Anolis sagrei: one gene and its partners. The protein of the gene in region 2 binds, or shares a complex with, the protein of the main gene of each other region. Links are inferred from orthologs where the notes say so. Each region holds a gene or a part of one and is shown on either strand. Other genes may lie near its edges. The genes, in order: CACNG1, CACNB2, CACNA1S and STAC3.

The links.
Region 1: CACNB2 (region 2) and CACNG1 share a complex: the UniProt entries of both Homo sapiens proteins name them as parts of the calcium channel complex. The link is inferred for Anolis sagrei from reciprocal best matches to the Homo sapiens genes CACNB2 and CACNG1.
Region 3: CACNB2 (region 2) and CACNA1S share a complex: the UniProt entries of both Homo sapiens proteins name them as parts of the calcium channel complex. The link is inferred for Anolis sagrei from reciprocal best matches to the Homo sapiens genes CACNB2 and CACNA1S.
Region 4: CACNB2 (region 2) and STAC3 share a complex: the UniProt entries of both Homo sapiens proteins name them as parts of the calcium channel complex. The link is inferred for Anolis sagrei from reciprocal best matches to the Homo sapiens genes CACNB2 and STAC3.

The regions. Positions count from the first base shown.
Region 1 is NC_090022.1:180,612,410-180,620,608, forward strand, and holds the start of CACNG1 (voltage-dependent calcium channel gamma-1 subunit), read right to left. Parts: upstream 3,285-8,199; 5' UTR 2,943-3,284; coding exon 2,699-2,942; intron 1-2,698. UniProt on the Homo sapiens protein: Regulatory subunit of the voltage-gated calcium channel that gives rise to L-type calcium currents in skeletal muscle. Regulates channel inactivation kinetics.
Region 2 is NC_090026.1:106,409,606-106,417,339, reverse strand, and holds the start of CACNB2 (voltage-dependent L-type calcium channel subunit beta-2), read right to left. Parts: upstream 3,179-7,734; 5' UTR 2,815-3,178; coding exon 2,701-2,814; intron 1-2,700. UniProt on the Homo sapiens protein: Beta subunit of voltage-dependent calcium channels which contributes to the function of the calcium channel by increasing peak calcium current. Plays a role in shifting voltage dependencies of activation and inactivation of the channel.
Region 3 is NC_090024.1:185,706,317-185,713,732, forward strand, and holds the start of CACNA1S (voltage-dependent L-type calcium channel subunit alpha-1S), read right to left. Parts: upstream 3,191-7,416; 5' UTR 3,004-3,190; coding exon 2,840-3,003; intron 1-2,839. UniProt on the Homo sapiens protein: Pore-forming, alpha-1S subunit of the voltage-gated calcium channel that gives rise to L-type calcium currents in skeletal muscle.
Region 4 is NC_090022.1:185,456,243-185,463,924, forward strand, and holds the start of STAC3 (SH3 and cysteine-rich domain-containing protein 3), read right to left. Parts: upstream 3,355-7,682; 5' UTR 3,129-3,354; intron 1-3,128. UniProt on the Homo sapiens protein: Required for normal excitation-contraction coupling in skeletal muscle and for normal muscle contraction in response to membrane depolarization. Required for normal Ca(2+) release from the sarcplasmic reticulum, which ultimately leads to muscle contraction.

The DNA of each region.
Region 1 (8,199 bases), on a different chromosome or scaffold from region 2:
TTTTCTTTCCTTCCTTCCTTCTCTACCTCTTTCCTTCCTTCACCTCCCTTTATGTTTCCCTTTTCCTTTCTCTCCTTTCTTCCTTCTCTACCTATTCTTGGACTGTAACTCCCAACAGTTCTCCTGATCAATTGATCTATTTACATACCTATCTATCTCTATCTAATCCATCTATCTTATCTATCTGGAGGATTGCTGGGAGTTGCAGTCCAGGAATAGGAAATATGCAGGGATTGGGATGCTCTCAAAGAAATCCAAGGAGAAGCAAGCTTTCCTCTTGGAAGCAGTGCATTTGGATCATGGTCCTCTCCTAAAGGTCCTGGTCTAGAGAATGCTGGGAGCTATAGTCCTGAAGAGAGTGTGGATGTGCTATTCTGTGTTTTGTTTGCTAGGGAGGGTTATTTTTGTGCATGTGCTGTAGTGTCGTTTTGCTTTTTTGGCTTTTGAAGTCCCTTCCGCCTTGTTTTTCAGTGTTTTTTATGAGTGATGGTCACTTGTTGGCCTCACAGGTGTGTTGTGTCCAAATTTCGTGTCAGTTCACCCAGTGGTTTTTGAGTTATATTAATCCCACAAATGAACATTACATTTTTTATTTACATAGATGTACATAGTCACATACACACTAGCTGCCTAGAGTCTCTATATTGGGAGAAATGAAGGATAATCATAAAGTAAATAAAGTAAACCAATAAACACAATTCCCACCTATAGTTTTGCTCCCATATAAAAAAAATATAAAGGTCCTAAATACAAATCTCCAGAGGACAAAAGCTGTGCCATCCTTTCTGGGAATATCCCCTCTACTCCTTTCTAACGTGCAAAGAGCCATTGCCTTCCTCATGTCCAGGTTATTCCATTATAAACTCCACCCCATAGTGTGGTATGGGTTGTCACCAGTTCTCAAAGCCCATAAGAAGAAGAAGAGTTGTTGGGTAACCCCAGAGTCCAGAACCCATGAGGCCTGAGATATCTTAGAACCCTTCCACCTAGCCATATAATCCAGAATATCAAGGCAGATAATCCACAATATCTGCTTTGAAGTGGGTTATCTGAGTCCATACTGCCATATAATCAGTTAAATGTGGGTTTTATACAGCTGTGTGGAAGGAGCCCAATTCAACCTGCCTGGATATCTCTGTTCAGATCTAGTGGAGCAGAAGAGTCCTGTCAGAGACCAACCCAGGAACCTAAATGCACAGAAGTTAGGAAAAGCACATGGTAGAGCAATGGTTCTCAATCTGTGGCTCCCCAGATGTTTTGGTCTAGAACTCCCAGAAATCCTAGCCAGTTTACCAGCTATTTTGGCCTTGGCTATTTTGGTAAACTGGCTAGGATTTCTGGGAGTTGTAGACCAAAACACCTGGGGACCCACAGGTTGAGAACCACTGTGGTAGAGGATGGGAGAGTATGTTGATCAACACTATCCCATACACATGTGCCTTTATCAATAGTCTGAGTGGAACCGATATGCCTATATGAGCCAGTCACTTCTACATGCATGTGCATGATCAACTCAAACCTTGAACCAATGCACAGAGGCAACAAGAAAATCAGCTTTTACAACCACAGTCTACCTCCACCACCCAGACCTATTGATCTGATCACTTCATTACTTGAAGAGGGGCTCTGCGTAATAAAGTTGAGGTCCTAGGCAGAGGCAGCCCTAGGTAATTTTCAACGGTGAGCAAACAGTATTTTGCCCCCCCCCCCAAAAAAAAACCAAAACCAATCACTGATATATATTTTCTGTTTGTTGTGGGAGTTCTGTGTGCCATATTTGGTTCAATTCCATCATTGGTGGAGTTCAGAATGCTCTTTGATTGTAGGTGAACTATATATCCCAGTAACTACAACTCGCATATGTCAAGGTCTATTTTCCCCCAAGAGCGCCTCAAGAGCGCCCCTGGGCAAAATCAACTATACTGCAAAGGCTTACTTTGCGTAATGGTTGAGCCGCCCCTGGTCCTAGGTCAAGCAACAACAGTAGACATGCCAGATCACTACAGCACTCCTCATGTAAGCAACTCCTGGGATTTTGTTATCTGTGTTGCTTTCTACTGTCATACATGACGATGTACATAGATGTGATTACTTCTAGCTATGATGTACCTGTAGATGTTTTAGTTGCAGTGAAATGGCTCATTGCCGACAGTCCTCTATTATCTTAAGCAATTAAAAGTTCTTCAGAGTAGCTTTTGGCCATAAACTAGTTTTATATTTTGATGTATCCCCCCTCTTCTCCCCGCTTACATAATTATCCAAATCAGGAGCACTATTTAATGGAAATGCTGGCAGTACGTGATCTGAAACTGTAGGGGTTATATAAGCCAATCTCCCCCCACCCTTGCCATTCGGATAAAGATTTATGTCAGACTTGGCAAGGCGGGGTTCGTTGACACTCCTGTGATCAAAGGCTCCAGAGAAAGCATATTTCGTCTTCTGTCTCCTCTTTGCTTTTCACCTCCCCCCATCATTTCCCTTCAGAGTAGGACAGCACCAAACATTAACACAATACATGCCAAGGAAGCAGAAAGATCCTCAGGGAAGTGTGAAAAAAGAACATCGCTTTGGGCTAGCTCAAAAGCAGCATTGGTAGTGACATTTCCATTCTCCCAGCATGCCCTCTCACATTCAAGCTGCCTTGCTGTTTTAAGGTATTCTGCAGCGCATTGTCAGGCGGTTATATGGGGACACCTACCTCCTGGCAGGCTTAATGGCCCACAACCCTGCTCTTTGTCCGTCTCATTTTCTTTCATGAAGATCCGTTTTATACAGATCCGCCAGAGTCCAAAGTGGGCCATCTCGCAGGTAGCGTTGTACTCTTCTACCTTAGGACTCAGCACGGCCCAGTGGTCCGTCACCACCGCTGTGAACATTAAGACGATGCCTATCAAAATGATGGTAAAAGTCACCCGGACTTTCAAAGCCTTGCCTTCGGTCATGGCTGGGAGGCTTAGGCCAAGACGCAGTAGTGCAGGCCGGTTCTGGATTAATCTGCTGGTGACAAGGAACACTGCAAGTCATCTGAGTTGTCTTCCAAAGTCTTGGCGTATCTAAGCATGTTCAAATGTCAGCCCTGCAGTGGCAAAGAGGAGTAGCGAGGAGAGGGTTGGGGGAGGCAAGCAGCAGCACTTACAGCTGTTGAGATGTATCAGATGACCAGTCGGGCTGTGAGTGAGGCTTCTATTAATGCACAGTTTGGGCGAAGGAATAGGCTGCTCAGATTACGGCTGCCGGGATTTGCTCTGGGAATTCCAAAGGCTGTCTTGGAGCAAAATGGACTTAAGGGAATGAATAACCACCCCTATAGCAAGCACCAGGCTGGGGGTTGTGTAGATGTATGAACTGAAAGCTATAAATACTAACACATATGCTGGAAACCTCTGTGCAAGCAGACCAAATAAGGCAATAGAAAAGGTTGAATTCAGCAATCTGTGCTTGTGTGTTTGGGTGTGCACACTTCTTGTTACACAATTTATTTTGCTATTGCTATTCATAGGGAGGGACTAAGAGTAATGAATGGTATTGGAAATCCCCTGGTTACCACATGGGGTTCTCCCCCATACATTGTGCACAAGCCCGTAGCCAGGATTTTGATTCGGGGGGAAGGCTGAGTTTGATTCGGGGGGGGGGGGGGGGATGAGGATCTACCCTAACAAACCTTTTGTATCACTATCCCAATACCCCCATGCATATGGGATATATTGAGCATGGTGATCAGATCATGATATGAATAAACATAACACAGACCTATAAACCCATTTTCCTAGTTCCAACACACTTCATTACCTCTGAGGATGCTTGCCATAGATGCAGGCGAAACGTCAGGAGAGAATGCCTCTAGAACATGGCCATATAGCCCTAAAAACCCTACAACAACCCATAAACATAACAGTTTAAATAATGTACCAGTAAGGCCTTCTCGCGGACTACCCTGAGAATTTGGGGGTGGTGGTGGGGGGTGAAGCCCCTCAAGTTGTCCCCCCCCCCCCCCCGGCTACGGGCCTGATTGTGCATAAACCAAGATGGTAAAGATGGCTTTGTAACTGATATAAGAACCCAGGGCTATTGTTGTTCATTTGTTCAGTCATCTCCGAGTCTTCGTGACCTCATGGACCAGCCCACGCCAGAGCTCCCTGTCAGCTGTCACCATCCCCAGCTCCTTCAAGGTCAGTCCAGTCACTTCAAGGATGCCATCCATCCATCATGCCCTTGGTCGGCCCCTCTTCCTTTTACCTTCTACTTTCCCCAGCATAATTGTCTTCTCCAGGCTTTGCTGTCTCCTCATGATGTGGCCAAAGTACTTCAACTTTGTCTCTAGTATCCTTCCCTCCAATGAGCAGCCGGGCTTTATTTCCTGGAGGATGGACTGGTTGGATCTTCTCGCAGTCCAAGGCACTCTCAGAACTTTCCTCCAACACCACAGCTCAAAAGCAATACAGCAGGACTCAAAACAAGGACCACACTATACTAGGAAGGAAGTCTAGTTCTTCCCCAATTTCAGACTGCAGTAACAACCCTTCCCTACCCGCAGTCCTTGAAGGAAATCTGCTGTTCACTTCAGTGGACAGAAGTAGTGACAGATCCTTTTCTACATAGTCCTCCCAATTCTAGTCCCCCCCCCCCTCCCCCATTGTTTTTGAAATAATAAAAAATAACTATGAAGGAGGTGAATGCAGACTCAGTCATGGTAAAGTGGGTTTTTTTTATATTACATGACAGGAAAGTGCTTTAATAATAATAATAATAATAATAATAATAATAATAATAATAATAATTTATTTATACACCACCCTATCTCCCCTAGGGGACTCAGAGCGGTTTCCACATATGCAAAATAATACAAGAACATACAATATAGATGCAAGCAAAACGTCAGGAGAGAATGCCTCTAGAACATGGCCATATAGACTGAAAAAACGTACAACAACCCAAGCTTATTTAAAGTTGGAAAATGTACACAGGTTAAGCTGCAAGGATAGTGTGAGCTACCAGAGGAAGCAATGTAAGGTTTATTCTTATGGCATTCCTGTTGATCCTTTCTTACACTCATGCCTCAGGAATGTGCCAAAGAGCCTTATGGTACCTTGAAAATGAACAGATCTATTGTACCATAAGCTTTCAAGAACTGAAGGCACTTTCATTCCCAAAAGGGTCTGCTACAGTAAGTCTGTTAAGTTTTGGGTGCTTCTCTTGCCTTGAACAGAGTTCAGAAAAGTTACATTTTTGACTATAATTTCCCAGGACTCCCTAACAGACATCCCAAGTTGAAATCCAGAATGTAACATTTCCATGCTGTGCCACAGACAAAAGTCACTCCTCTGGAGTGGTATGACACCTTATTTCTGTTTGAGAAACAGTTGTAAAAAAACCACAACGCTTCATAAACACTTCATAAACTTCCTTGTTACCAGAAGTAGATCAAATTAAAGGAATAAGAAATGTTTGTTACCTTTCTGGTTCTCAGAAATCCATGCATATTTTGGTAACCCCAATAGTATTTTTGCATTTCAGGACCCGTCCACACAGTACTTTTATAAAGAAGGGGCTGTCCAGACAACGCTTTGGACAGCTTCGAATTAATTCACTACAAACCATGAAAACCCTGGTTTGTAGCGAATTAATTAGATAATAGATTTACTCCATGCCTTCTTGGAAGGCGAGGGATAAACCCACTATTTCTGGTGTCTGGATTGCAGTCCAGACATCATTCCACGGTTTTCTGGACTAAATTAGTCCGGAAAACTGTGGAAATACCCACCCCTTTCCCCCAAAGAGGGGCGTAGAAATGACACATCAGGAGAGGGGGGAGGAGGAAACCCCCCCTCCCGCTTTCCTGGCATGTCATTACTATGCACCAGGAGAGCTGCTCCAAGAGTGCACTGGAGGCTGGGTAAGTTTATTTTACTTTTCAGAGGGGTCTGAGAGCATTGGGGGAGGGGGGTAGTGCCTCCAGATGGACACCCATCCCAGAAAGTGTGCGTTTTCTGGGGTGGGAGTGGATAGGCCCCCAGAAAAATCCACATTTTAAAAATGCGGATTCTCCTGGGATAAAGACCTGTCTGGATCCACCCTCAGAGGATTTTTCTTCTTATCCTTCTCTTTCTACTTCTGATGCAATCATTACTACTTCATGGGAGGATTGTTCTAATCATAACTTAGGGTGTCAGTGGTTCTCAACCAGTGGGTCCCCAGATGTTTTGGCCTTCAACTCCCAGAAATCCTAACAGCTTATAAACTGGCTAAGATTTCTGGGAACTGTAGGCCAAAACACCTGGGGGCCCACAGGTTGAGAACCACTGATAGAATTACTTACTTACGTACTTAGGCGATCCCTCATTGGCCGAGTAGGATAGTCTTCTGGGATCAGTGTGCTGGTGGGTCCGTAGGTGATTGTGGAGCCCTATTCTTGATCTGCATCTTCTCCCGCAGTGAGGGCATTGGTTTCCAGGTGGAAGGCAGTTTCAGTCGGGGTTGGTTTGACGCGCCTTCGTCTAGGCATGTTTCTCTATTTCACCCTCCATTTGTGCCACTTCAAATTCTTCAGCATTGTTGGTCATAGCTGACTTCCAGCTGGAGCGCTCTAGGGCCAGGGCTTCCCAGTTCTCAGTGCCTATGCTAGAGTTTTTAAGGTTGGCTTTGGTAGAATTAATGTAGTCTGGCACCACTTTAACTACCATGGTGCAGTGCTATGGAATCATGACAATTGTAATTTTTCAGTGTCTTTAGACTTCTCTGCCAAAGAGTGCTGATGTCTTACCCAACCACAAATCCCAGGATTCCATAGCATAGTTAAAATGGAATCCAACTGCCTTAATCCTTCAGTGGGGATGCACTCCTAGTTACTTTCCTTTCCACTAGGGCTTGGCAGACCAATTTTCAACAAACCTCATATGATTCCCAAACAACCAAGACGGCTGTCAAAAGGAACTAGGGCGCTTCTGACTCAGGTCTTTCATTTCAATTGCACTGCGCTCTGCATTCACAAAGGAAAGTGGAGAGTGTCACCCGAGGTGACTATGATTTCAGATAAAAGGAAGAAAAAGCAGTAAGAAAAAGAAGTAGCTCAATTATAGCAAATAGTCCCGTCCCCCCCCCACTCCACACACACGTATCCCTCACAGAAATCAAAATGCCTTGATGATTGGCATCTACAGTTCTAAGAGATTCCGGCGAGACAGATATGATACCACTCCCCGTTTTCAAATTCCAGTTCCCGAGTGTGCTTCAATGGTCCATCCCAGGGAAGGCATTCCGCCCTACTTAAGAGTGGCTTCCCATCTTCAAATAGCCTTGCAAGCAATTCCTGGTCATTACACTCAGGAGTAACTGAGATGTATACCATCAGAATAACATGGGGGAAGGTTGTCACTAAGTAGAAACTTTACATTAAGTTTCACTGAACTTGCTGGTAAATTCCTTAGAAGGGGTTGATTATGTCTGCTCGGGCCTGCTCATAGAAACTACACGACAGTAGAATGTGGTAGATGCACTCTACTTCCTGTTTGTTACATGGGCAGAGTCTTTCATTGTATGTATGTTGTTGTTGTTTCGTTCAGTCGTTTCCGACTCTTCGTGACCTCATAGGCCAGCCCACGGCAGAGCTCCCTGTCGGCCATCACCACCTCCAGCTCCTTCAAAGTCAATCCAGTCATTTCAAGGATACCATCCATCCATCTTGCCCTTGGTCGGCCCCTCTTCCTTTTCAATTCCATTTCCCCCAGCATCATTGCCTTCTCTAAGCTTTCCTTTCTTCTCATGTTGTGGCCAAAGTACTTCATCTTTGCCTCAACTATCCTTCCCTCCAATGAGCAGCCGGGTTTTATTTCCTGAAGTATGGACTGGTTTGATCTTCTCGCAGACCAAGGCACTCCAGAACATTCCTCCAGCACTACAGTTCAAAAGCATCTATCTTCCTTCACTCAGCCTTCCCTATAGTCCAGCTCTCACATCCCTAGGTGACTATGGGAAATACCATTGCTATAACTATGCGGATCTTCGTTACCAGTGCGATGTCTCTTCTCTTCACTATTGTATTGAGATTGGACATTGCTCTCCTCCCAAGAATTAAGCGTCTCCTGATTTCCTGGCTGCAGTCTGTGTCTGCATTTGTATTTCTTTGCACATAGAAATACAAAGTCTATCACTGCCTCCACGTTTTCTCCCTCTATTTCCCAGTTGTCAATCATTCTTGTTGCC
Region 2 (7,734 bases):
TAACACTAACAACCTCCCCAGCTTTCTCTTCAAAATGCAGCTATCTCCTCAGAGGCTGAAAGACTGAAGGAAGAAAAAAGGCACAAAGAGGGATTGAAACTTTCCCAAACTGAGGGGAAAGTGGCTGTAAGGTGCCTTTACCACGTGGAATGAATGCAGCTTGACACCACTTTTAACTAGCAGGACTCAGTGAGGTACCAGCACTCTTTGGCAGGGAAGGCTAAAGCCCTTGCAAAACTACAATTCCCATGATTCTGTAACACTAAGCCAGGGCAGTTCAGTGATGTGTCAAACTGCATCCATTCTATAGTGTAGTTGCACCCTTGTAATACTACAACTTGGACTATTACACAGCATTGAGCCATGACAGCTAAAGGGCTGCCAAGCTGCATTAATTCTCCAAAACAGATTCACCATTAGAATTCCAGATCAGGGACTGGTCACTGACAATCTCCTCAGTTTTCTCTTCAAAATGCAGTCTCTCCTCACAAACTGAAAGACTGAAGGAAGACAAAAGGCACAAAAGGGGGGATTAAAACTTCCTGAGACTGTAAAAGAAAGGTGGCTGTAGGTTGTATAGAACCATAAAAAGTGCTGCCAAACTGCATCAACTCTACAGAGCAGAAGATGCATCCTGAGAGGTTCAAGATCAAGGACTGGTCGCTAACAATCTCCTCAGAAGCTGAAAGGGGAAAAAAGGCACAAAGGGGGATTGAAACTTCCCCAGAGTATAAAAGAAACATGGCTGTAGGTTCTATAGATACAGCCACAAAGACCTGCTGGCAAAAACTGTGTTTATTCTACACAGTAGAAAATGCATCCTGAGATGTTCTACATCAAAGCTTGATCACTAACAGTCTCCTCAGCTTTCCTTTCCCGAGACTGTAAAAGAAAGGTGGCTGTAAGTTGTATAGATCCATAAAGAGTCCTGCCAAACTAAATTACTTGTATAGAGCATAAGATGTATCCTGAGAGGTTCAAGATCAAGGACTGGTCACTAACAATCTCCTCTGCTATCCCTTCAAAACTCTCTCCTCAGAAGCTGAAAGGAAAAATATAAGAAAGGTGTATAAGAAAGGTGACTGTAGGTTCTATAGATAGAGTGCTACCGTCAACATTGCATTTATTCTACAAAGTAGAAGTTGCATGCTTAGAGGTTCCAGATCAAGTACTGGGCACTAACCATCTCCTCTGCTAGCCTTTCATAACACACTCTCTGCTCAGAAGCTGAAACATGGAAGGAAAAAAAAGACACAAAGAGGGATTAAAACTTCCTGAGACTGTAAAAGAAAGGTGGCTACAGGTTGTATAGAGCCATAAAAGGTGCTGCAAAACTGCAAAGCAGAAGATGCATCCTGAGAGGTTCAAGATCAAGGACTGGTTGTTAACAATCTCCTCAGCTTTGCCTTCAAAACGCAGTCTCTCCAAGGTAACTGAAAGAAAAAGACAAAAACGGGAACTAAAACTTCCCCAGACTGTAAACGAAAGGTTGCTGTAGGTTGTATAGATAGAGTCATAAAGGAATGCTGCCAAAACTACATTAATTCTAGAGTAGAAGATGCATCCCTATGAGGTTCCAGATCAAAGCTTGTTCACTCACAATCTACTCAGCTTTCCCTTCAAAACACACTCTCTCCTCGGAAGCTGAAAGACTGAAGAAAAAGGCACAAAGGGGAACTAAAACTTCCCCAGACTACAAAAGAAAGGTGGCTGAAGATTGTATAGAGCCATAAAGTGCTGCCAAAACTGCATTAATTCTACAGAGTAGAAGATGCATCCTGAGAGGTTCAAGACCCAAGCTTGGTCACTAACAATCTCCTCAGCTTTCCCTTCAAAACACACCCTCTCCTCAGAAACTGAAAGAAAAAGACAAAAAGGGGGACCAAAACTTCCCCAGACTGTAAAAGAAATGTGGCTGAAGATTGTATAGAGTCATAAAGTGCTGCCAAAACAGCATCAATTCTACAGAGTAGAAGATGGATCCTGAGATGTTCAAGATCAAAGCTTGGTCGCGAACAATCTCCTCAGCTTTCCCTTCAAACACAGTCTCCTCAGAAGCTGAAAGACTGAAGGAAAAAGGCGGCACAAAAGGAGAATTAAAACTTCCCTAGACTGTAAAAGAAATGTGGCTGAAGGTTGTATAGAGCCATAAAGTGCTGCCAAAACTGCATTAATTCTACAGAGTAGAAGATGCACCCTTAGAGGTTCAAGATCAAAGCTTGGGCACAATTTCCTCAGCTTTCCCTTCCAAACACAGTCTCCTCAGAAAGACTGAAGGAAGAAAAAGGCACAAAGAGGAACTAAAACTTCCCAAGACTGTAAAAGACTGTAGGTTGTATCGCTAGAGTCATAAAGTGCTGCTGCCAAAGCTGCATCAATTCTACGAGGTAGAAGATGCACCCTGAGAGGTTCAATATCAAAACTTGAGCACAAACCATCTCAAGCTGGAAGAAAAAGGCACAAAAGGCGGTTGAAACTTCCCCAAAATGTGAGGGAAGAAAAGTGGCTGTCTGTAAGGTGCCTTTGCAATGTGGAATGAATGCAGCTTGAAAGAAACCGCGTTGAACTGCTATGGCTCAATGCTATGGAGCCCTGGGAGTCGTAGCCTGGCGAGGCATCAAGCAGGCGAGTGTGAATCTGCAAGGATTCTGCGGTGTAGATGCCATCACCTCATCCTCGTCCTTCGCCTTTCTACCATACCTGCGCCGCCGTGACTAGAGCCGGAGGGTTATTATTGTCGAGCAGCTCCATCTGCACCTCCTGCGACGCCAAGATTGGGGCGGCAGGCGACTTGGACATGTCGCTTTGGACCATTGGAGAAGAGGGGACGGAAAGCAAGCAGCCCACAAGTCACACAGAGAGAGTTTCCACGAACAAAGCGCCTCCTCAGCTGAGGAGTTCTCTCTCCGTCTCCTTCTTCTCCTTCTTCTTGAGCAGCCACCGCCTCCTCTTCCTCCGTTGTTGCAGTTATTGTTACTATTGTTGCTCTTCCACGAGCACGGCTTTTGCTGCTGCCTCAGGGATGGGCCATTCTTTCTTTTCTTTTTTCTCTTGCTGACTGAAGAGATGGAGAAAGAAATGGGGAGGAAAATAAAGAGAGAAAGGAAAGAAAGGGAGGGAGGGGAGGAAAAGAGCCGCTCGCCTCGCCCTGCTTCAATCAAGGAAAACACAGCGCATGGCAACCGCTCCAGCAAAAAAAGGGGAGGCAACGACTCCTCCTCCTCCTCCTCAGTCCTCGCTGATGAAAAGCAGGGAGACGACCGCGAAGATGCCTCATGTTTTGCCTTTAGAAAAGCCAAAGATGGTTGGGGGAAGATAGGAAGGTGAAAGGAGCAGAGCTCTGTCGAGTTTGGGCAGCAGCTCCTCCTCAGAAAAGTTGGAAGGTTTACTATGTCTCCTCAAGGGATTGGCCTGCATCCACACGTTGTAGAATGGGAACACTTGGAAGGCTAGCTAGAGTCCTGGGGGTTGTAGTTTGGTGAGGCATCACCACCACTCTATAGAGCAGGCCTGGGCAAACTTGGGCCCTCCGTGTGTTTTGGACTTCAAACAGCCTCAGGCCCCTTCCTTTCCCCCCTCAACCTGGGGCTGTTAGGAATTGTGGGAGTTGAAGTCAAAAACACCAGAGGGCCCAATTTTGCCCAGACCTAATCTACTGTTTGCCCAGGGCTGATCTACAATTCCAAACAGCCTCAGGCCCCTTCCTTTCCCTTCTCAGACTGAGGCTGTTAGGAATTGTGGGAGTTGAAGTCCTGGAGGGCCCAAGTTTGCCCAGGGCTGATCTACAACTCCCACAGTTCCTAACAGACTCAGTCCCCTTCCTTTCCCCCCTCAACCTTGGCTGTTAGGAATTGTGGGAGTTGAAGTCCAAAACATCCAGAAGGCCCAAGTTTGCCCAAGTCTGATCTAAAACTCCCACAATTCTAAACAGCCTTGGGCACCTTCCTTTCCCCCTTCAGGCTAAGGATGTTAGGAATTATGGGAGTTGAAGTCCAAAACACTCGGAGGGCCCAAGTTTGCCCAGGCCTGATCTACAACTACCACAATTCCTAACAGCCTCGGTCCCTTTCCTTTCCCCTCTCAGCCTGGGCTGTTAGGAATTGTGGGAGTTCAAGTCCAAAACACCTGGAGGGCCCAACTTTGCCCAGGCCTGATCTACAACTCCCACAATTCCTAGCAGCCTCAGGGTCTTTCCTTTTCCCCTTCAGACTGAGACTGTTAGGAATTGTGGGAGTTCAAGTCCAAAACACCTGGAGGGCCCAACTTTACTCAGGCCTGATCTACAACTCCCACAATTCCCAACAGCCTCAGGCCTTTCCTTTTTCAACTCCACCTGAGGCTGTTAGGAATTGTGGGAGTTGAAGTCCAAACTTAACTTAGGTGATCCCTCGTTGTCCGAGTAGGATTATCTTCCAAGATTGGTGTACTGGCGGTGGGTCCGTAGGTGACTGTGGAGCCCTATTCTTGATCTGCATGTTTTCCTGCAGTGATAGCATTGGTTTCCAGGTGGAAGGCAGTCGTGGTCGGAGTTGGCTTGACGTGCCTTCCTCTTGGCACTTTCTCCCTTTCGCCTTCCATTCATGCATCTCCAAATTCTACAGCACTGCTGATCACAGCTGACCTCCAGCTGGAGCGCTCAAGAGCCAGGGCTTCCCAGTTAGGGCCCAAGTTTGCCCAGGCCTGATCTACAACTCCCACAATTCCAAACAGCCTCGGGCACCTTCCTTTTCCCTCTCAGCTTGGAGCTATTAGGAATTGTGGGACTTGAAGTCTAAAACAAACGAAGGGCTCAAGTTTGCCCAGGCCTGATCTACAATTCCCACAATTCCAGTGGCTGAGGGGGGAAAGGAAAGGGCCTGAGGCTTTTAGGAATGGTGAGAGTTAAAATCCAAAACACCTGGAGGGACAAAGTTTGCCCAGATCTAGTTGACAGGGCCTTTGCAAAGCCACAACTTTCATGACTCCATATAGCATTGAGCCTTGTCAGTTGAAGTGATGCAGCACTATGTTATTTCTACAGTGCAGAGGAACCCAAGACTAAAGACCTTGTCAAATTACAACTTCCATGACAGTTTCCTTGTGAAGAGAAAAAGTGGGGTATATATAATATTTATTTCTTTATCGTGTCAGGTGAATTAAGAAAACAATTATAATGTATTTTAAAAGACACAAGTAAAGGTAAAGGTTTTTCCCTGACATTAAGTCCTGTCATGTCCGACTCTGGAGGGTGATGCAGCTGAAGAGCCAGAATTGTCCATAGACACCTCCAAGGTCATTTGGCCAGCATGATTGCATGGAGTGACTTTACCTTCCTGCAGACACTGTACCTATTGATCTACTCACATTTGCATGTTTTCTAACTGGTAGGTTGCAGAAGCTGGGCCTAAGAGCAGGAGCTCACCCCACTCCCTGCATTTGAACCACCAACCTTTCGGTCAGCAAGTTCAGCAGCTCAGCGGTTTAACCCACTGCACCACCAAGGGGCCAAAACCCCACACACAAAGTTTAAAACTTGGCATTATACTAAATTTCCTTTCTCCAGAAGCTGGCCACTTCAAGTTCCTCTGGTTTTCCCATAAGTAGGTCATTGTGCATGTGGCGGAGCTCAGGCTGCATTGTAGTCAGTAGCCTGTGGTTTACTCTTCTCCACAGTCGCATATCATGGACTCCACTTTGTAGTCCATTTCTTAAGATTGGCTTTGCATAGAGTGGTGTCCAACTGCATCCATTCTGGAGTGTACATTCACCCCTAGTCTTCTAAGTTCTTGACTGAATTATTCATTCTGATTAATATTTGTACCAAAGTACGGACAATCTTGAACCATTTCAATGTCTTCATCAAGTTGTATAAATCATCCATGGTCATTAGTTTCATTTTCTTAATGTTCATCTGTAAACAACAACTGTAGAATATTAAGAGGGAGCCTTAGTCCTCCAGGAAGACGCTATGGTTATATATATATATATCATCATCATCATCATTTAATAACTTATTAATCGCCCTCCATCCGAGAATGCTCTAGGCAATTTACAACTAAATTATAAAAGATAAAATACATACATACAAAAATTAAAAATTAACAGAGATTGAATGCTCTAGTAAAAAGCCAGGTCTTAAGTGCGAGAGTAAAAGGCCCTAAGTCACGCATGGCTCTCATGTAGGGCGGCAAGGAATTCCACAAGGCAGGGGCAGAAATAGAAAAACCCCGCGCCTGGTCCTTTCCAAGTGCACTTCTCTAGGACCCGGTATATGGAGTAAGTCACGTTGGGCTGGTCGTTGCAACCTCCAATGATGGGAGAAGGAGAGGCGGTCCCTAAGGTACGATGGACCCTGGCCGTAAAGAGTTTTAAAGGTCAGAACTGGCATCTTATACAGGCTACGGTACTCAGTTGGAAGCCAATGTAAATGTTGCAGCACTGGTGTTATATGGCATTTCATGGGCGTTCTCGTGAGTAGCCTGGCTGCCACATTCTGAACAATACGAAGCTTTCGGGTCGTAGGCCCACATACAGGGTGTTGCAATAGTCCAGCCTAGACGTGATTGTGGCATGCATGACAGTTGCCAGAGCCTCGTCAGATAGGTAGGGTGCCAGTTGCCTCACTTGTCGTGTGTGTATGTGTATATATATATATATATATATATATATATATATATATATACACACACACACACATACATACATACATACACATACATTAATAATGCATCAGTGACCTTTGACTTTTTGGTTTGGCTGTTATTTTCAATGAATGAGTACAACAACATCAGTAAAGGAAAGAGATTTCCTAACTAACATATGAGATGGCTTGTGAAATATGCCTAAGCACTCACGTATTTTTCTGTTTCTGTCTTCATAGAGATGTTTAACAAAAAAACTATGAAGAGGCTATTGCTACATTTAAGCATACCGTTGTATGAAGCAACTGTTTAAGGAAAGACTCGGAAGGGAGGAATGCAAAGCAGCACTACAAAATGGGTTTTGTCATCACTCGTCATTCACATATCTGTGCAACTGTTTATCTTCAAAGTCAAACAAAAAGCACTAGTTCTTTTTTAGGTGTCATTAAACAAAAGTCTAAGGTTATATTACAAAAGCGTGGATTGTAAACCTACCAGCCTGAAGTTTCACTAAGAAACAGAATTGTTATTTAATTGGAACTAGAACCACTAGTGGCAATAGGATTTTTACAACTTAAGCCTATTGAGAAAATGTTCTAAACATTAAAACACATTATTTTTACTTGACACTTACTTGGCAAAATCCTCAATGTTTGGGTTTTCTTCAAGCTAAACTGGTGTCAAATTGTACACACAAATCACCTGTTGACTTATGGCCATTCCATAGATTTTATAGGCTTTCTTAGCAAGGAATACTCAGAGGTTTTGCATGGTCCTTTTTCTGAAATATCACCTACAGCAGTGGTTCTCAACTTGTGTGTCCGTAGATGTTTTGGTCTTCAACTCCCGAAAATCCTAACAGCTGGTAAACTGCCTAGGATTTCTGGGAGGCGTAGACCAAAACATCTGGGGACCCACAGGTTGAGAACCACTGGCCTACAGCATCCATTCATTAGTGGTCTCCCATCCAAGTGCTGAACAGAGCTGATCATGCTTAACATCCTAAATCAAACAGGAGCTGGTGCCTTTACATAGAGTATTTACAAGTATATACACACAATCCTACACAACGGAGCAAATTCAAAGCAAACTTAAAACAATATAATTGGTATAA
Region 3 (7,416 bases), on a different chromosome or scaffold from region 2:
AAGTAAAAGCAGAGGACAGCTATATCAATGGGAGAAAATAATGTTTTGTGTCTACGTGACTTGTGAATAAATGCAGACACATCCCTTGAGATGTTCCAGAAAACACCTTCATGCACTGTTCACACCTCCTAAAATGCCCATCTCTTTGTAACAGCCTCCAAGCCAGTGTTCCATTAGCTTCAGCATATGTCATACTTTTGCTACTGCTATCAGAAATAGTATTACCTCAGTTACTGTATATTCATAATTTATTTCTTTTATAAATCAATATTACTAACCCAATGCTAGATACTGAGGGTGGGTTCATGACAGAGGTAAAAGTTTTAGCCTTGAGTGATGTTTTTATTACTCGTTTATATTCTAAGGACAATAATCTAATTTCTCTCTCCCATAAATTCAAGTGCTTTTGTTCTCTTACAGGTCAGATTTCCTGCTGCTAGCTTTAATGGGCTTAAAATCAGAGCTTGGAAATACCTTTGTCAAAAGTATTTCATTACTTACTACAGTCTTTAAAAAGTGATCTGTCCTGCTATTTATGATGATGATAGGGAGTGTTTACTTATTACATTACACATTCTGCTTTTTATGTTTACATTAATGTGCTGCTTTTTGAAGGTAAAAACTTTTAGTGTTTTAGCATAAAACTCTAAAATGTCTGTCAAAGTCGCTCTTTAATGCCATTAACAGTACCTTTTAATAATAGATGCTGCTACATGTACAAGTAGCTTTGCTCTTACTTGTTATGTTGTTTTTAAAGTTTGATTTTTAACTGTTACACACTCTGTGTGTAATAAAAGTAACAGAAAGCAATTATACTTTGTATCAGTAGCTTCCAAATTCTTCCTAAAATCAGTGCATTTAGGGAGTAATCTTTATTCTCCAACTGAGAGATCATCATCATCATCATCTTTATTTGTACCCTGCCACCATCTCCCCAAAGGGACTCAGGGCAGCTCACAGAAGCACTCCAAGCACCACATGCAGACGACAATATATAACTAGAAATACAATGACATAATCAACAGCACATAAAAATCTCATTAATAAAATTATAAGAATTTGAAAATTACAACATTCCTAATACACAGTGAAACCTGCCAGCTGGCTACATGTCATAACAATCAATCAAAGTGTGGGCCAGTACTATTAATGATTCATCACATTGGTCATGGATTACTCAGGATCAAAGGCCTGTCTGAAGAGTCATGTTTTAGACTCACCCAGAAGGCCTGAAGAGAGGGAGCTAATCTAATTTCTTTAGGTTATTCCAGAGCCAAGGAGCCACCACTGAGAAGGCCCTCTCTCTCGTCCCCACCAACCGTACTTGTGCCGGTGGTGGGACCAAAAGAAGGGCCTCCCAGCAGATCTTAGTGCCCACGCTGGTTCGTAGGAGATGCAGTCTCAAGGATAGGTTGGACCCAAAGTATATAGGGCTTCTGCTGGCATCACCTGTAATTTGTTTTGTTGTTCAAATTATAAATTAGCTTAAAGACACAAGCCTTCTTCCTACTGTACACAGTCCTAACTCAATTGTTTTTTCACTAAATGATTGGGAAAAGTTTAACACTACATTTTCCATCCTTTAACCAATATTAAATAACAACTGGATTTCTATTTTATTCTATGACTTATACAAGAATGATCGGTTTCTTGACTCCAGTTATGATCTTTTTTACGCCACTAACTTTAGCATAGAATCATTAGGCTCAGAAACATATAAAGAAGAGCACCTAATCCAAAGCCCTGACCTTCTTCTCCCATTCTCAGCCCAGAAGTACTTAAAAGATTTCAAAAATAGCTCTTTGGAGAAATTAATCCATTTTGTCCAAGTTATAGTACGTCAAAAGCAGAAAGCAGGAGAAAAAAAGCCACCGCATAGGAGACAGGTCTGCACATTTCCAGAAATAGCTTGTTTTAAAAATCTGATTACTCCAGCAAGCAATGAAATGAAATGAAATGAAACTGTATTTATAGCTTGCCCTATCTTCCCGAAGGGAGTCAGGGCGACTTACAACAAAATACACCATGACAAACATTCCATGCCCACAATAATATATAAAGAACTCAACAAATTGAAGACAATTCAATAAATTATAGATCAATATAAATGAACAAGACATAGCATAATCCACATAATTACATTACATGGTAGGAAGGTAAGCTCCATGCTATCAAAGAAGGCTTGATAGCTCATTTTGAGTTTGAGAAAATTATATCCTCACATCAAATAAAGCAATATATTGACTCTTAAGCAAAATTAATCTTCACAACAGAGTAAAATGCATTGGCCCTTGAATTGAATGTTATTAGACTCCTCAAAGATATGTAAAAAGTGGGAAGAAGCTGTATCTATATTCAATGTACTGAAGTTGAGAAGCTAGATGAAATAACCTGTAAACATTCATTCTGTACTCATACGCATCTCTTTTGGAATCCATGACATATCCTTTTGAACCATAATGGATTCTACAGTTGTACATTTCCAAGTGTTTCTTAATCTATGAATGGCCACAGAAGACTATAACTCCTGCTACAGTATTTTTTTCCAAATCACACTCACGTCCACCTACCAATTCAGACTGGATCAATGCAGTACTTTTCTCTTAAATACCTTCCTTCCCTCCTCATCTCCCTGCTTCTCCTCTCAGACATAAATGCCAAAATTTAGTGGCTTTCTAGCATTTCTAGAGAAGAGAAAATCATATTCAGGGTTTATCTTTCACAAGAGAGGTTCATTGATAATAAATATTCCCCAGCCCTTTGCCTTTGGTTTCAGCTGGTGCCCATAGCACATACACGTCAGCCTAGAGCCAGCCCCATAGTTTTCACCGAAGGATACTTCCATTCCACAATAGCGATGCAGGCTTTGCGCACTGGATTCTGGAGAGTGAGGCAGAAGAGAGATCGAGGAGGCCTGGGAGGAAGTTCCAGGGCTGCTTTCTTAGCTTTTTCCTTTTGTTGCTTTTTCTTCAAGCTGTCATCTTGGGCCAAAGTGGCCTCCATGATCACTCTCCTTCAGTTGCTTACTCCAGGCAGACTTGTCTTGCCCCTTCTTTGGCTCTCCTTTGTTCTTCAACCAGCCCCCCACCCTTCCCCAGCACAAGGGCGGCTGAAGCCCCCTCTGGACCTCTTTCCTGCTGAGCCAAACTTATCAAGGCGGTGTGGGATGTGGGGCTGGGAATGACATTCCCACAGACACAAATACACCCAGCGCAGAGTTTATAATTAGCCCCCAGCCTGGCTCCCAGGGCTGTCAGATTTCCTGAGACAGCAAAAGGAACAGCTGTTCCTTCTTCGTTCTCAATCCATGGCCATTTTTGAGCTACCAATCCAGGTCAGGGGAAAGGATGTGGGTGGGGAGGTGGGCTTCACATATCAGCGCTTAGAAAAGGAACATTTTAATTCACTTTGATTCATGTTTGACAGATTTATAAAGGAGTAGCTGCTGCCTGTATTATCAGGATCAAAGCCACTTCAACATTAGTAGTGTATGGATTACCGTATATAATCAAGTATAAGCTGAGTTTTTCAGCCCTGAGACTGAAAAGCACCCCCTAAGCTTATACTCGAGTCAGGGTTATTTATTATTTTACTGTTATTATTATTATTACTATTATTATTATTATTATTATTATTATTACTATTATTATTATTACTGCATTTATTATTTTACTCTCTTTATTGGTATTGGAAGGATATGAAAGCACATTTACATTGAAGAAGGTTAGAATAATAGTTTAGAGTTGGATAGTCTTATCTAAAATTACAGTTTTATGTAAATATTCAAAAACATTTAATCTACTAATGCCTCAATTAATGTAATTTTATTAGTATCTATTTTTATTTTGAAATTTACCAGTAGCTGCTGCATTTCCCACCCTTGGCTTATACTCGAGTCAATATGTTTTCCCACTTTTTTGTGGTAAAATTAGATGTCTCGGCTTATATTTGGTTGGCTTATACTCAAGTATATACGGGTATATACTTCGATGGTCTTGAAACAGTCAAGATTTCACACAGTAACGGAGACCATATATACATATATATATATATGTATGAATATATATACACACACATACACACAATATTTCTTCAGTTTTAAGACACCATCAATTGTAAGAAGCATACTAATTCCAGTACCACCAACAAAAAAGTATTATTTAGATATATCAAAAAGCACCTGCAATTCTAAGACTTTTTTGACTTGTTTATACAGAAAAGAAAGTGCATCTTAGAATCAAAGAAATGTGGAATGTATGTGACGTACTATATATAAAGACAACTTTCTCACCCGAAAATTTCACGCCCTTGTTTCATGAATCATAGAATATCAGTCAAATCTAAAACACAAGACCAGGCCTTGAGATCCAGAGGCTCTGGAAGTAGCCTTCAAATCTACACATAGGGAAGTCCTATGTCTTACTTAGACAAAAATAATCATAATGTGCTAACTGGAAGCTTAGGCCATTTCTTCACAAACATGATAAAAATAACTTGAGATTTAAACTGATTGATTTGTCTCAAAAAAGAGTTCTTAGTGATTAGCTCTATTCTGCCATTGTTTACTGTTTAGTTCTATCCGCCGCCCCGCCCCCGCCCCCCCTCCCCCACACATCTTCTTTAAGGGGATCCTCATAGGCAGGTACAATATGATCATGTTCACACTGGAACTTGTACCTATTAGGATTGTGCATGGATCTATTTTTCAAACTGGGCTCCAGCTGTTTTGGCTCTTTTGGCCAGCCGTAATGCCATTTTTTTCAGCCTCAACAGACCATGGGGCTGCCGACCACTGCTACTTTCTGTTTCATTCTGTTCATCTGTTTATCACAGGTCTTGTCATCTTGCTAAAGCTGCTTCTTTGAAATATTCAGATCTACATGATAGTTTCCATAGTGACTAGAAATGCTAGATCAGGCATGGGAAAACTTTCTAACTTGGAGGCCCCATGCTAGCACTCCCTGCTAGGAGGACTGGCTGCCCTGTGAGGAAAGGAAGGAGGGGAATGAGGAAGGAAAGAGGGAATGAGGAAGGAAAGAGGGAAGGAAGGAAGGAAGGAAAGGAAAGGAAAGGAAGGAAGGAAGGATGGAAGAATGGAAGGAGAAAGAGGGAGAGAGGGAAGGAGGGAGGAAAGAGGGAAGCAAGGAAAGATAAAAGGGAAGGAAGGAATGGAAGGAGGAAGGAAAAAGAGCAGGAAGGATGAAGGGTAGAAGGGAAGGATGGAAGGAAAGAAGGAAATGATAAAGGAAAGAGAGAAGGAAGGAAAGACAAAGGAGAAGGGTGGGAGGAAGGAAGGAAGGAAAAAAGGAGAAAGAGGGAGAGAGGGATGGAAGGATGAAATGGTGGAAGAGTAAGAGAAAGAGGGAGGGAAAGAGGGAAGGAAGGAAGGATGGGATGTAGTGAGGGAAGAAGGCCTGAGAAAAGAACCCAAGGAGCCACATCTGGCCCCTGGGGCCTGAGTTTGCCCATACCTAGGATAGACCATCTTTTCAATGGGCTATATGGCCCATAAATATTTTTGTTCTATTAAATATCAGCACATCTGAATCAATGACAAAACAATGAGCAATTAAACCAAAGCCAAATATTCATCCATTGTTGCATTGTTTTTAGAGGAGACAACACCCAGGCCTAGCCTACAGCATCTCATTTACATCTTGTTAAAGTTCTATTGTTTTCACTGAAGTCCTGAGTGAGAACTGCAGAGTGCTTGGCAAAGCTCCTGATGCTTGTAATGGACCATGGATTACAGTTTATTTAAAAATAGCATCCACGTAATAGCCTCTGGGTAGTAATCATTTTAAGATGAATAGGACAGCTCTGAAACATATTAGCAAGTTATTATTATAACAGCAGCATTACGGGTCCCCAAACTTGTAATATATGTGTAGCCTTCATTGAATAAGTGTTCATGGTTGTCTGCAATATTAAAAGCTAGGTCATTCTTTATCTTCTGTCAACATTGTTTAAAGTGGTGACTTGACATTTGGTATAGACTCTAAACTGGCCCCCCTCTTTTTGAGGAAATGTAATGAAATCTTGGGTTAACCCTAAAATAGGCATGAGTAGACCCTCAAATGGATTTGCCAGTAGCCAGTTTGCCTAAAGTAAGATATGAGTGGAGGTGGTAGGGGAGGGAGATTTTCCAAGTGCCAGCCTATAGGCCAGGCACGGGCAAACTTCAGACCTCCAGGTGTTTTGGACTTCAACTCCCACAATTCCTAATAGCCTACCAGCTATTAGCCTACCAGTAGGCTACTAGGAATTGTGGGAGTTGAAATCCAAATCACTTGGAGGGCCGAAGTTTGCCCGTGTCTGTTCTAGGTTATAGCAACTCAAACTACCATTCTCTTTCATCTTAGTGATCATTACACACACGCAGCAAACTTCTGTCATTTAATTTGCTCTTGAATATATCTGAGTTTTGCTGTGGAGTTTCATATGTCATTATTATTACCTGTGATTAATTTTTTTATTGGTTAGATGTAACTAATTTGTAACATTGTCACAATTGCATATACACAATTTATTATTGTTTTTTACCTCATATAATACATTCTGTTTATTACATTTTATCTTTTACAGTTCAAACATCTATTGCTTATACCTATCCATTGCTTATACCTATCCATTATCTCCACAATTCCACTCCCATCCCCTCCTTTCAGGAACAGATGTAACTCTTCTCATTGGTTTATATTATTGGTTCAATTGTGAATTTTTTTTTTTGGTTCAGATCCTTATATTTTTCCTATCCCCTTTGCTCTGACTATAATCTCATTCCACTTTAACTTCCAGTTCTCCTTTGGATGACCATTCATATATTTTGTTCTCTTTCACATATGTAGTCTTGGAGCATATACTGTGATAAATATTTGAGCCATTTAAAAAGATTCCCTTTTCACTTCATCTTTCCATCCCGAGGCAACTGTTGCTTAGGTGGATACAATTTGTTCCGTCTCCCAGGAGCATGGGTTTTGCATTACCTTTTAGTTGCTGGAAACAGCCTCTCCTTGTGTTTCTCCCAGGTTGCTGCAGCCTTTGCAAGGCCTAAAAGGTTAGCAGCCAGAAGCAGGAAAGCCAGTTTGCAGGCTCCCTGCAATGATTGGCCAAACAGTAGCTCTTTGGGCCCACCCCTGCTTCCAGGGTAGAAGCATCCATTTTGGAGGTCTCCCTGCCCCTTCAGTCTTAAGGAAGAATCCATGATGTGCTGTTGGCAGACAGGTACCTCCGAAGATACCATTGTAAAAACAATTGAGTTATAGATAGAAAACAATTGAGTTTGATTGAGTTATTTAGTTAGAGATAGATAGATTAAAAGAGAACTATTTAGATAGTTATAGAGGATTGTCTAGATAGTTATAGAGAAGTCAATGGAATATTGACTTCATTGAGTGATAGCTAGTATTGAGCAGT
Region 4 (7,682 bases), on a different chromosome or scaffold from region 2:
CCCCAATGATTCAGCCAGGAAAGCCTTTGGCAATACAAAGGATACTTTTTTTACAGAATTCCTTTATTGTGTTTGTAGGGTGGAGAACTAGTAACACATACCATTGGCCTATAATGCTGATCACTCTTTACCATTATCTATGCTGGCCAGGGTTATGGGAGCTAGTCCATGTTATCCCATTTTTTGATATCAGGCTTGTTTAGATCTAAACACCCACTCCTAGAGTTCCTAGTCAAGTCCAATACAAGCTATTTACCTTTGATCTTCTTTTACTTTCTGTTAAGGCTGGAGATTTGGTCATTTTCTGTTTTTAAAAGTTTCATCCAGTTCAAGCAAACAGAATTCACGTGTATAGATCCATTTCTAATATGCATTCCAATAAAGTTTTGTCTAACTCAGCATAGGACCAGGGGAAGCAATAGGTGATATTTCAGGGTATAACTCTCCTTAAGGGTTTCCAGATTTTGGGGAACTACTGTGCTTTCCTGGTTCTCCAGATAAAGACACTGATCTCAGGATGAGCAATGCTGGAGTGATATTTTTAGGTATGAGGTGGCCTTAAAATGTGGGTATGTGCCTCCACCCATTCCCAGTTGATATTGTGATTCATTGGCTCGTCTTAAAAGCGTTGCATGCATAATATGTTTGAGCAGCCTCGGTACACCGAATAGGGGAAGGCGCTAGGGTGAGACACAGTGAGTGCTCACACTGAGGCTCAACGTGGTAATTTGGAGCAAGGCCCAACCCTATGACATCACAAGAATCCTCTCCCTGGTTCCAGGTTTTGGCCCTGAAATCTCTGGGATGCTGTTCGCTTGGCAACCTTGCTCTTATCACTCTCAGGTGGCATATGATCAGTGTTCAAGGAGCCCCTGGTGGCGCAGTGGATTAAACCCCTGTGCCGGCAGGACTGAAGACCGACAGGTCGGTTCGACTCCGGGGAGAGGCAGATGAGCTCCCTCTGTCAACTCCAGTTCCTCATGCGGGGACATGAGAGAAGCCTCCCACAAGGCTGATAAAAGCATCAAATCATCCGGGCGTCCCCTGGGCAACGTCCTTGCAGACGGCCAATTCTCTCACACCAGAAGCCACTTGCAGTTTCTCAAGTCGCTCCTGACACAACAAAAAATAAATAAATCAGAATTCAGAGGTTAAAACAGTTTTAGTTCAAAAAATCTGGATGGCACAGAATGAACAGCACCAAGGGTATTTATCAGTTATATGGATTTATAACTAATCTGAGTATTCCTGCATTACAGGAGGTTGGATTGAATGTGCCTTGTGGTTCCTTCCAATTATACGATTCTGTATCATCTATTCTAAGGTCACAGATCCTTGGAATGTTGTTTAATTTGAGTGAGTGCTAAGAAGCAAAAACCCATAGAGCTATAATTTCCAGGATTCCTGAGAGTTCACAACTGTTGAAGAAATTTAACTCTGCAATAAAATCTGCTCAAAGGATGGCATCAGACTTAGAAAGCTATGATGATATATGTTCCAGAGATGGAGTTTATCTGATCAAGTGAGACAGTACAGAAGTTTCTCGACAGATTGACACTCTTGTTTTCCATGCCGCACTGTTTTTCTCAAGAGGGTATGAGACAGAGTCTGGAAAAGTTTGAGCAGGGAGGTTAGATTACAATTCACAAGACACACCAGCATGGCCAAAGGGGAGTTGCCAGGAGTAATTCATTGTCAAAAGAAACTTGTACACAAACGGAGTGATACGTCATCATGTGGTCATTAACATTTGATGAGCTCAGACAGCATCCAGCACTGAAAAGGTACAAACAAATACCACACTCCTTTATAAACTAGATGCTGGGAAGTCCAGTTCCTTAATCATGGATGTGTAAGGACAATCTGTGCTAACTCAAAAATGAGGGAAAGGCATTCTCCACACATTCTTTATTATTCTTACTCCAGATACTTTAGCTTAGTGTAAAAAATAGTGTTGATGCTTACCCAACACAACTTCAGCCCCAGGTAAAAATCCAAATATATGCTTCTAAACATCTCACTAAGCTGACTGAAAATACATCAAGCTGCACATTTTTCCAAAATTTTCTAAAAGTATTATTAGTAATGAACAGAAAGACTGGACCACAATATCACACATGGAAACAATTCTTGGCCCTCAAGGCAATTCTTTTCTTTTGCTTCCCAGTATCCCATTTCCGAAGCCTTTATGACAGTCAAGGAGTGGCTAAACATGACACAAGGTACTTGTGTGCCATTACCCACGTCATTGGCGGGACGTAAGTGGAAAAGCATTTTGGCTTTCCATTCTGTAACTGCTCTGGTGTCTGTGTGTCCACAAATGGATCCAAATCTCATAGGAGCCACCCATCTCAGGTTCCTAGAGATTTCATCATGGCTGCCTGGAGCTCCACCAGAAACTCTCCATTACATGGTTGGGACACCAAAGAACAGCCTCCAGCATAGAACAAAGAACATCACATGCACCATATTGGTGTAAAACTCAACTTCTTGCTTTGAACATCTGAAATAGCTGCTTTCCCAAGGACAAAATCTTCCTTGCTCTTCAAAGAGGAAGGACAAGCCCGCATGTAATCTCCTCAGAGCTTCTACAAAGGGCCAAAAACGTCCTTCCCTGTCTTTTCAAAATGGCAAGTGACTGAGAGGTACTAAACTTTCCCTGCTTAGCAGCAAATTTCATTGGAAATTATCCGTCTGCAGAAATCAGGTGACAAAAATGAGCATGCTTTGGGAATGTTTCAATCTTTGTTTACAAAAGCTTTGGTGGGAGAGTTTCTGTATGTGTGAGAATCCCACACAATCCTTAACTGATAAGACTATAGGAAAACAGAACATTTCTGCAGTATTATCTGTCCTTTGAATCTCTTCCTACCCTCAGCCAGAAAAGGAGTGTCAACCATTTTATGTTTCAACAGACTGAAAGACATGCATTTATCCATCTTATGAAGCCAATCAGATTAAAATGGGTAAAATACACTGGCAATCAAGAGGACAGCTTTTCGACAGTTTGCGTGAAAAACAACTGTCATGTTCATAAGCATTAAAACTCCAAAAAAATTTCAGGTCTCCATGTAGGGGGAAAACAGACTATACCAGTACCCAATGGGGGAAAAGTGGAAAGCACTTACCTCCAAGAATAAAGCTACCACTTTCCAGCAGATTAAATCCTTCTGAAAAATATCAGACACTCCTGAAAATTCACTTTCTTCTGTCTGGCCCAATATCTCACTTTAGAGATCCATAGGAGATAAAGAGTTTCCCCTTGCCAGGACTTAATGTATAAAAGTTTGCTGTCCCAGCACCGCGAGGAACTCAAGTGACAGGGTGAGAGGGGAAAAGACAGCTGCCATCCATTGGGAGGGCTGACACAGAGAAATTGGACACTGGCAAGGAGCTTTAGCATGAATAGTAGGCCAAACTGCCTGAGACAGCAACGCAACAGCTCAGTCCACTCCCTGGGGATTGGTAGGAACTGTCAAAATAGTGTGTATGAGAGAGAAAGATGGAACCTAACTACGACTCATTTGCCTATGAGGTCTCAAAGAGACATTGCTGCCTGGATCACACATTCACCAGCTCAGATCTACAAATTTGTACCTCATCAGGTCATTCCAGAACAAGATGGCAAGGGAGGGAGAGAGGCAGGAACATGGAGAAGACATTGGACTAGAGCTTTGAAAAACTGCTGGGGTTGGGGAGGGGTTACAATTCCTTGTCAACCTAACCCATTGTTCTCCCCTAAGGATTTTGGGAGTTATAATCCAAAAAGTTACTTCAACAAGCTGTGCACAACGCACATACACACAATCCTAATATTTCCTCTATGACCTTTTCCGTGAAGCTTATCTTCCTTACAGATAGAAGTGCTTCACAAAGTACAATAGAGTTTTGCTTATCCAACATAAATGGGCCAACAGAATGTTGGATTAATGAAAGTGTTGGATAATAAGGAGGTATTCAGGAAAGTGCCTATCAAATGTCAGATTATGTTATGATTTTACAAATTAAGCACCAAAACATCATGTTTGGCAACAAATCAACAGAAAAAGCAGTTCAATACATGGTAACGTTATGCAGCAATGATTGTATTTACGAATTTAGCACCAAAACATTGTAATGTATTGAAACAGCTGTGGATCGAGGCGGGAGGCAGACTGCATTAGATAATATAGAACGTTGGATGAGCGAAGGCTAGATAAGCAAGACTCTACTGTACAATGAACAAGACTGACTTCCACATTTATTTATTTTATTTAGGGCATTTGTATCCCATCCTATCTCAACCCCTGCAAAGGGACTCAGGGCAGCTACCAACTGGCCCAGCATAGTGCCAACAACAGAGTAAAACAAGCATAAATATACATATTATAATAAAACAATATAAAAACATTTAAACAGTTCTCCAATTTAAGTCATCATCCTAAAACCAGTCCAACATAGTCCATTAAAACCATTTCTTTGCCAGCAAATCAGTCTAATGTGTGAACGCTTGATCCCACGGCCAGGATTTCACTTTTTTCCCGGAAGGTCAGGAGTGATGGAGCAGTTCTGATCTCATTTGGGAGGGAATTCCATAGCCGAGGGCTACCACCCTCGTTCCAGCCAAATGCGATGGCAAAGGTGGAGGGACTGAGAGCAGGGCCTCCCCAGATGATCTTAAGATCCTAGGTGGTTCATAGAGGGAGATACGTTCATCAACTGTAAATGTGCAAAGTACTTCAATGTGGAGGAATAAAGACATCATCCAAGTACTGTAGAGACAGCATTATTCTTAGAAAATGACTAAGGCAGTAATGGTGGGGTGGGCTGAGAAAATGTAGTTTGCTTAAGGCTGCCTACTAATTTGTCGGCAGAGCAAACAGAATCCAAGGCGCACCTAGGACCCTTCCACACAGCCCTATATCCCAGAATATCAAGGAACAAAATCCCACAATATCTGCTTTGAACTGGGTTATCTGAGTCCGCACTCAGATAATGTGGGATTTTCTGCCTTGGTATTCTGGGATATAGGGCAGTGTGGAAGGGCCCCCAGTTCAAATGTCAGTTTCTCTGGCACTGGGGCTATAATCTTATAACCTCTCACATGGAAACAGTTTCCACTCAAGTTAAAGGGACATATTCCTGAAGAGACATTGGGAAAATTGAAATAAAAGCTAAATTTGCTATATTCTGTAATGTTTTGGTAATTCAAAGGGCCCTTCCACACAGCCCTATATTCCAAAATATCAAGGCAGAAAATCCCACAATATTTGCTTTGAACTGGGTTATCTCAGTCCACACTGCTATATATTCCAGTTCAAAACAGATGTAGGATTTTATTCAGCTGTGTGGAAAGAACCTTAGCCTTGGTATCAGAGAGAGGCGATTAGTTGTAATGGGTCAATGATGCAGTTTCATTGCTCACAAAAAATTATGCCTCTTCTCAAATCTAGAAGCCAAATTAATTGTACAAAACATGCATATGACATTTTACTGTTTTGCATAATTTATAAAGAATTCTAAGTTACTTGGCAAATTCAATATGGTTGTTTTTGAAGCACAAAAACATAAAACGGTTCTACAAATCAACATATTCTGATTTGCAGATCTTTTAGATTAGGGCGATAGTATAATTGAATAACGAATCAGATAACGCTACTATCTGTCTTTTAAAGAAGGACTAAATTAACTTCTTCAGCATTCTTTGATTAATTTCTTCCAACAAGCAGAAAAGATCGGCCAAAGTCTGCATTTTACATTTCCATATAGTTAAGATCTGATACATTGATGAAATTACATTGCAGCCTTCAAACATACCCCATTTAGACATTTTATCTAGGTGAATATCTAAAATGAATAGATTCTGGAGCAGAAGCTTGCCTGGAAGTCAGTCTCCAATCTGGATGTTCTTAACTCTCAATTCTGTATGTTGGCCAGTGCTGTGATGTCTGCATATTTGAGGGAAGTCATTTCATCCATTATTCCAAGTTTGATCCATGACTTTGAGAAAATCAAACTAAATTTTGATCCCTTTGACTCCATCTCACTTCAAAATCCAGAAGAAAGTGGATTTGTGCCTGCCCACTGAATAGATTCTTTCATACCAATATTAAACACATAACAGCTTCTCTTATGCAATATACCAGGTTAAAAAAAATCCTTAAAGTTTTGTCCCCCAATTACAAAATCACTAGTGTTCATTTTTGATCTAGTCAAGACCCTTTCAAAATGCTTTTCAAGTCAGTGGTGGTACAGTCAGCCCTCTTTATCCACAGATTATGCATTCACAGATTCAACCATCCATGGCAAATACCAAGGGTGCTAAAAATACATTTTAAGATAGGAAAAGGCAGAATTAAAATTGTAATAATATATATCACATCACAAACACAAAAGATAAATACAAGTCACATTTGGCTTCTGCAATTACAAGAGGTGCTCAAAATAGTTACCATCAGCTTCCAGACACTTCTGATTATGGTGGACTATGCCTGAGCATCGTTGACCAAAGTGTGCACTAGTATCGCTGTGCATGCCATTTCAATTTATTCCCAAAGTATTGCCAGTGTAGCAGGTTTCTATGGTACATCACATCCTTTAAGGTCTCCACAGATCAGTGGTTCCCAACCTGTGGTCAGTGAACTGCCAGTGGTCCAGAATGAAAATATGGTCTGCGGCTTAACCATTACCATACAGTTGCCTCAAAACCACGAAGCAACAAGAGTGATTGGTCTTGCAAAACCCTCTTATAGTCCTAAGGCAATGGGGATGTCGGTAGGGGAGAGGCTGACTACCCACGAAAGATTACTACTACCACAGCTGGCACGTGTTCTGTATCAGAAACTAGAGCTGATGTGGCCTTTGCAATGCAGTTTTCTGAATCAGCACCCCAAATAACCAAACAAATCCAAAGTTGACTAAAAACTGATTCGTAATCCTTTTGGTACTAATGTTGGAGAGTGGTCCCTGGTCAAAAAAGGTTGGGAACTACTGCCATGGAGTGTTAAGTCAAGGGGTGTTAAGTCTGGAGAACGTGGGGGAAATTTGGCTGCACCTCTTCATTCTTCTGTTCAATTTAAACTGTGCTTTGTCAGATCAAATCATTTTCTCCACAAACTCATCCTTCTATACTATTTTTTGGAACCAGTCACAGTACTGAACCCTGAGATCAGGGCTGTCTTCATTCAGTGCATGTAATAATCTTGAGGTGAAAACTTCCCAATTTACTGATTTAAGAATGTGCCAGCTAATTCCTGTCTCATGTGCAATTTGATTGGTAGACATCTCCGGTGAGTGTGTAAACTGTTCCAACATCATAGGAGAAGCAGGACTTGTTGCTGTGCAACGTCTCCTGAATCTTCCCTTGTGCACATCACACACAGCATCATGTGTCTCAAACTGATCAGGAACAACTGCATTTGTTAGACACTTTGGATGTTCTGTTGCCTCTATTGTTGTTTTACTTCCACAGCATTCTCAAACTGCAAATAGCATTTCAAAATGGTTTTGTGCTCCTTAAACAACAACCATGCTTTCAACATTTTCTTTGATCACCTGCCTGTCTCATAGTGATGATAGTATTCATTTGATTAATGCCATCTTTTGAGCGAATGTCATACTACACATTGCTACTGTAGTTCAATTCACCATTAAAAATACATAAAATGTGTATACATTTTGCACCCTCTGTATTTAAAAAGATT